2 linked regions of the Xenopus tropicalis genome follow. The protein of the gene in region 2 binds, or shares a complex with, the protein of the main gene of each other region. Links are inferred from orthologs where the notes say so. Each region holds a gene or a part of one and is shown on either strand. Other genes may lie near its edges.

Region 1 (3,151 bases), on a different chromosome or scaffold from region 2:
GTGAAGTGATAGATTCTCTTTTCCAGAGAATCAATGGAGTAGTTGTGTTACATTATGAGCTTAAGGGTGGGTGGGTGGGTAGTCTGCCATCATGGCTTCCTATGAAACAGCAGAATTACTTATTTTTCTTCAGGAATACCTATCTCAGTATGAAATGCAGTGGGCCCCCTCCTCTATTCAGTTTCGAAATGTAGAAAAAAAAAATCTCCTGTGCAAGATGACATTTACGAAACACTAAAGACTATTTTAAGTTAAATTTAGCAACAGCCATAAAACAGTTTACTTATTTGTTTGGGGGCCTGACCAGCAGCTACCCTAGCAGTGTTTTAAACTCCAGTGGGCAAGATTCAGCCAGATTCATTTCCAGGATTTCTGCTGTTTTGCAAGCAAATCTGTGAGGGTCTCTTCAATCGCGATGAGTCGCTTCTGGAACCACTTTTTAGACAGAAAAACCAAGGATTTTCATGAAACAAAGGCAAGAGCAAACAAGTATGCAAAATGAATGAAACTTTGTGCAGTGATTAAATTAAAAACAAAAAACACATTAAATGGCTCCCTGTTAATTCAAAAATCAATGTGTGCAACTGGACTTGACAACTGCGCCACAAACCAAAAAAAAATCCATTTGCAATATTTTGTTCACTAGAGAGGCTTCTAAGGGTTTATTGCAATTTTGTAATGCTTAGATGTCAACATAAAACATCTGTAATCATAAATACAGTACAACTCTGCTGCAAAAGTAAACAGAAATTCTGACTTTTCTTTATTTTGTTGAAAGAATACATTTATCCAGAAAGTACAATTAAAAAAAAAAAGGGACCACACTATAGACAACTGAGCATCATAATTCAAAATCTTAGAGATTGAGGGAGGGAATTTTTTTTATATGTATCTTTGGCTGGCACTGTAAAACTAGCACAAAGGGAAAACCTGAAGAACATTGTTGGAATAAAACTACTAACTTGCAGTATTGAACATCTTTTGCTACTGAACACTGCTAGGAAGAGCACGCTCAGATATATAAACTACAACTTCAAGAAGGATTCTTAAAGGGAATGTAGAGATTTTAAAACCGTTTTTTGGGACCCATAATTCGCACACTATAGTCGGGAACACCAAAAATTTCTGACATTGAATGGACCACCACCAAAGAGCCCATGCTGTCAGTTTTTATTTATTTATTTTTTTTAATCTGGAACTGAAAAAAGTGCTCCTGTGCAGCAGATAAAAAGCAGGGTGAGCCATTGACAAATGTAGTAAAACGTCTGAATTTTTGAAGTGCCAAAATTTTGCACTCACGCATCTAGCCTGATTTGCAGAATGGTAAAACCTCTGCTGCTATTAGTATATTAGAAGGCATGATTTTTGTCTCGCATAAGAGAAGTGGGTAAAACCTGTTGGTCCAAGCAGTCAGCAGAATTGTGCTTCATTCTCTAAATCCTATTCAGCAGTGAAACATAGCCACCCAAAGTCTTAACTCTTTTGAAAGTTTTTGTTTTTTTTTTCAGATTCAGTACCTGGGTATACAAATATCTATATATACAACCCTTACATCCTTTTGATAGATAATGTTCAAATGAAACATTTTAGCAAATAAAAGCATATCCCCTCCCTCCCATCTGCCATTACTGGTATAACAACCTTAATTTTCACATCTTTCAGTTGCCTGTGTGGGCAAGCATTTACTGTTTGCATGTCAGAGAATATGCAAAACCACACACTCTGGCATGGAACTGGCTCAAAAATTACTCAAGCAAGGATCCAATTATTTACATCTGAAGATACAGAGGGAAAAACTAAACAGAACTGCTGTAAACAAACAGTACTGCACAAAAAAGCCTGAAAACTTTCAGCAGAGAAAGACAATGCTCTAGATTGGCCCACTTTACAACTTCTGGCACGTTCAGCTGGAAAAGAAAACTGCATTTCTGATTGAATATCATCCCTGGGAGAGTCCGCCAACGTTTTCAGAAGTGTCGTGTGATCAGCATGTTTGTTCTGTGTTAACTATTTAACAGCAAATCCAAGGGGCATAGGTGAGAAATGAGGCATATGGAGGGAATTTGAGCTCCTGCCATACTGGAGATTGAACTTGTTCAGTGCTTAGCACACACCACCTGTCTGTTGTTGGAACACATCAATGGTATCTTCATCTTCCATCTCCAGCTTTGGGTCAAAAAGACAAACAAACATCTTTTTCATGACGAGGATAATGGAGAAACACAATATATATCTTTAAAGGTCTTGGGCCTGCACAGTTAAAAAGTAGCAACTACAATGATGTAGACTACCACCAGTAGTCCACATCAACCCAGACCTACAATAGGTCAGAAATAGGGGGCATATCATTTGCGACCTTGAGCTGATCTTACTGTGTATTGCCACCTTTACACTAGCTTTTTAAATTCACTATTGTATTTACTAGTATTCTATCACTATTTAGTGGCATCATTCTAGGTTTTATGTCCTGTTGCTCTTCTGCTTATCTTTACAATAGTGATGTGCAGGTTAACCAAAAACCCACAGGTTTAACCCTTAGGGTCAGGCAGGTCAGGGTTGAAGCTTAGGCAACTATTGCAGGTTTGGGTTGGGTGCAGGTCAGACAGATCCTGAACCTAAGGCCTTCACAGAAGTAATTTACACAGCGGATATTGGTATGGTGCGGGGTCCTACAATGGCAATATTTTGGGGGTTTAGGGTTTTCTTTTATTATTTTAAATACCTCTGAGAAGAAAAATGACTCAAACAACTGTACATAAAGACCTACTATCATTGCAACTTTTCCAGCTTCACTGGCAACATTAATGCTTAATGTACCTACTATGTTAAAGTTGGGAAAGGCATGATACATAAAATATACAAATTACAGCACGAATACCTAAACTAGCTTGTAGTGACACAAAAGTTGACATCAAGTATAAGCATTCACATACCTGTGCAGGTGTGTCTGTTTCATTGATTGGTTGTCCATCAAACCTGAACCTTATCTGCCGCATTGATAGGCCCTTTGAAAAGGATAAAGTATTATAATAATTTATAATGTTTTTGAAATAATTTCTAACTGCTTGATAGGGACTGCTAGCCTTTTTTATAATGATTCCCTACTCATAAGATGTCTTAGATGCCAGCTGCAAAGTAGTGCAATTTACCT
Region 2 (3,833 bases):
TATTTTTAACATATTTTATATTTAAACTATCTAAAAGCATTCAAATTTGTAAAAATGAATGTCACAAAAATTTGTAGGAAATTTGTAAAAGTTGTAAAAAATGAGAGGAGTCCCAAAGCTAGGAAGTATGAAAGAACCTCTCTAATGCACAACTTTACTACAATTCCAAGCCCCCTGAGCTGGGTTCCAGACTTTCTCTCCTGTACCTATGCATTCAGCCACTATCGCCAACTGAAAAGAAATCCAGTCTTATTATTTTAGCAAGTCTAACTGCTGTCATATTTAACAGAAGTCCTACTCTCAAACAATTCTAAAGTTCTAGCATGCATACCTGGAGGGATGCCCATTATGGATATTATTTATTCTATGCAGCCATAGGTGCTGTTAAAGGCATAAAAATATGAAAGCAGGCATTTTCAGGCTGACCTTCGCTCTGTGAGGCTGCACCCTGGCTAAAGCTAAGCCTGTCAATGCAGCTACATGGAGCTGTGGATAAGAGTGGATCCACTTTTCTCCACCTGCCTACAAAATGCAGGCGAAGAAAAGCAGATCCTGCGCTATGGGGCCCATTTATCAATGTACGATTGTGTATGAATACTAAAAATTCGTATTTTTTCTAAGTTTTAGAACTGTGCATTTTTTTCAGCAATTTTTTTGTTAATTTGCAACAATTTGTGCAACAAAATCGTATTTGTCGCAATGAGAATGTTATTCATTCAAAGCTTCGTTATCGTGACTTTCCTTTGACCAGGTTGGAGCTGCAGAGTGCCATTGAGTCCTGAGGCTTCCAAAATCATGCACAGAAGGATCAAAGTCAGAAAGGTTTTCACGATGTTTAAGATCGTTCGTATACAAAAATTTCACAACTTTCAGATCATTCCACAATATTTTCGTACCACCACGATACGAAATGTTCACGTTTTTAAATGCACATCAGAAATTATCGGATTTAATCCGAATTTTTCCTATCATACTTTCAATTGTCTGAAATTTGGCCTCTATGTGTGCCCAGGACCTACATCGGAGTATAATAACCATAAAGGCAGCTGAGCTGGCATACCTGTGTAAAGGTAATAGACTTATCTTTGGTGATATAATCTGCATACTTGCAGGCAAACATTCCACAATCACTGCCATTCATTTGTTGTGGGATTTCCTAAGAAAAAAAATCATCAGAAATTTACAAAGGAATAAATAAAAAAATTGTGCACCAATGACTAAAACCCATTCGGGATGACAGCATACCTCGCTTGTCTTGCTGGTAAGGGTCCAACCATTTGAGTCAAAACTTACGCCTTTTTTATCAATGCTTTCCTGTTTCAGGTATTGTCTGCAAGATGATTATTAAATGCATAATTAAAACAAAAGCATTTCATACAACAAATGAACAAGTGGCTCATCTACGTATGTGTGGGCTGTCATTCATTTGCCTTTTGATTCTCAGAAACAGTATTTATGTAAATTACTAATTAAAGGGATTCTGTCATGATTTTTATTCTAAATTACAGTTTACATAGCAAATAATTCACTCTACTATTTAAAATTTTATTCTTGAACCAACAAATTCTGAGCTTTCAGGAGGAAGTGCTACACATTAGAACTGCTTTCAGGTAACCTATTGTTTCTCCTGCTCCCATATAACTGGAGGAGTCCCAAGCTGGACTTGGATTTCTTACTATTGAGTGCTATTCTGATATCTACTGGGAGCTGCTATCTTGCTCCCTTCCCATTGTTCTGCTGATCTGCTGCTGGGAGGGGGGTGATATCACTCCAACTTGCAGCTCAGCAATAAATTGCAACTGAAGTTTATCAGAGCACAGGTCACATGGCTGTGGCACCCTGGGAAATATGTGAAATGTCGAAATTAAATATAAAAAAATCCATTTACATTTTTGAAAAATGGATTTCAATGCAGGATTCTGCTGGAGAAGCTCTATTAACAGATGCGTTTAAAAAAAAAATATATATATATTATATATATATATATGTAAAAAATGCTGATGCACACCAGGAAAATTTTATCAAAAAAAAGATACTTAGATCGACGTTTCGGGTATCTTTTTTTTTGATAAAATTTTCCTGGTGTGCATCAGCATTTTTTACATATTTACATTGTTTATCTGATTTGCACCCAGGTTGTTATCCCTATAAGTGTGTGTCTCAGCCTTTTTCTATATTATATATATATATATCTATATATCTATATATATATCTATATATATATCTATATATATATATCTATATATATATATCTATATATATATATATATCTATATATATATATATATATCTTATATATATATATATCTATATCTATATATATATATATCTATATATCTATATATCTATATATCTATATATCTATATATATATATATTATATAATATATATTTTCCCATGACAGTATTCCTTTAATTATTGCTCAAGCAAACTTGTACTTTTCATGATAATAGAGCCACTACAGGCTCTTTAGTACTGGAGTTTATTTTTTTTTGGCAACAGTAAATATAAAAGCTTCCCCATATAAAACAGTCTATGCATAATAAATACCAATATTATTTGCACTCAATAATGATGTGCGGGCCAGCCCAACACCTGCGGGACCCACAGGGGCGGGCAGACTAGCACCAACACGCACATAAGTTCCTCGGGTCACGGGCAGGTTCAGGACGACCTCTTCCTGTCGCCCTTCCTAACTGCGCCCCCTACAGGAGAAGCAATTTTATATGTGTGTCTACCTTGCCCCACCCCCTACGTGATGTCAGAGATGGGCTGGTCAGGCACGGGCTGAATTTTTGTCGACCTGTACATCACTATTACTTAACATTGCTTGAAAATAAAAATTCTTAAATATCCAGGTTAAGTGAACAGTCTGTCAACTTAAAAAGGGTTATACTCTTTTAAACTAACTTTTAGTATGATGTAGAGTCAATCTGCAATTGGTCTTTATTTTTTATTTCTGCGTTTTTAATTTAGTTTTTTTTTTTTTATTAAAGCAGCTCTCCAGTGTGGAATTTCAGCAGCTATTTGGTTTCTAGGGTCCAAATTACTAGGCAGAGGTTTAAATGAGAGCCTTAACTAAAGCCTATTATTTTTTTAATTAATAAAAATTAACAATAACAGTAAAATTGTAGCCAAACAGAACCAAACAGTTTTTTGCCTTTGGTATCAGTAACCCCCATTTTAAAGCTGAAAAGAGACAGAAGAGGAAAGCAAATAATTTAAAAACTTTAAAATATGAAGACCATTTGAAAAGCTGCTAAGAATAGGACATTCTATAACACACTGAAAGTTAACTTAAAGGTAAACTACCCCTTTAATTTCGTCAAGCATGGGATATTTCCTATGTGATCTTCTAATGTGTGAACCACTAGTAAATTGCACTGCACGGATGTGGCTGCCCACATCTGGCTGACCCTTTGGCTTGGCCAGGCAGCCACAAACAACTGGAAGGTTTGCTTAGTATGCAGCTATATATGGCAGTGAGTAAATTCATATAAAAACAATTACTTACAACAGTATTTTGCATGCTTCATTGTTTAATCCGCCCATTGAATCAAAGTACAGGATGGACTTTTTTCTAAAGTCTACAACCTATTAAAACAGAAAGTGCCATTACAAATTAATTCTCTTTTATTCATATGTACACAAGAATCTGGACTTAAATAAATGATAGATAAAACATAATAAAAAAATTATACAAAACTAAATAATATAGTTGTACAGGAATTTCCAAGCTTTGTGTAAGATAAACAGAATCTAAATTAATATTATAAGTCAGTGCTGTCCAACTGGCGGCCCGCGGGCCGCCCCTCTGTGTGGCCCCCCACCTG

What was found.
Region 1: the proteins of senp1 (region 2) and sumo3 are in contact, whole or in part, in a crystal structure (PDB 6NNQ), measured with the Homo sapiens proteins. The link is inferred for Xenopus tropicalis from reciprocal best matches to the Homo sapiens genes SENP1 and SUMO3. Residues at the interface, in NP_001254523.1 of Homo sapiens: Gln440, Asp441, Glu446, Arg449, Leu450, Thr451, Lys455, Trp465, Leu466, Asn467, Asp468, Glu469, Asn494, Thr495, Phe496, Lys500, Arg511, Trp512, Lys514, Lys515, His529, Gly531, Val532, His533, Trp534, Gln597, Gly600, Ser601, Asp602, Cys603; in NP_008867.2 of Homo sapiens: Gln24, Ser53, Arg55, Gln56, Arg58, Arg60, Asp62, Gly63, Pro65, Asn67, Thr69, Asp70, Gln74, Glu76, Asp84, Phe86, Gln87, Gln88, Gln89, Thr90, Gly91, Gly92.

What each region holds. Positions count from the first base shown.
Region 1 is NC_030685.2:55,096,694-55,099,844, reverse strand, and holds the end of sumo3 (small ubiquitin-related modifier 3), read right to left. Parts: intron 3,006-3,151; coding exon 2,934-3,005; intron 2,167-2,933; coding exon 2,104-2,166; 3' UTR 733-2,103; downstream 1-732. UniProt on the Homo sapiens protein: Ubiquitin-like protein which can be covalently attached to target lysines either as a monomer or as a lysine-linked polymer. Does not seem to be involved in protein degradation and may function as an antagonist of ubiquitin in the degradation process.
Region 2 is NC_030678.2:143,514,051-143,517,883, reverse strand, and holds part of senp1 (sentrin-specific protease 1), read right to left. Parts: intron 3,595-3,833; coding exon 3,515-3,594; intron 1,331-3,514; coding exon 1,246-1,330; intron 1,157-1,245; coding exon 1,061-1,156; intron 1-1,060. UniProt on the Homo sapiens protein: Protease that catalyzes two essential functions in the SUMO pathway.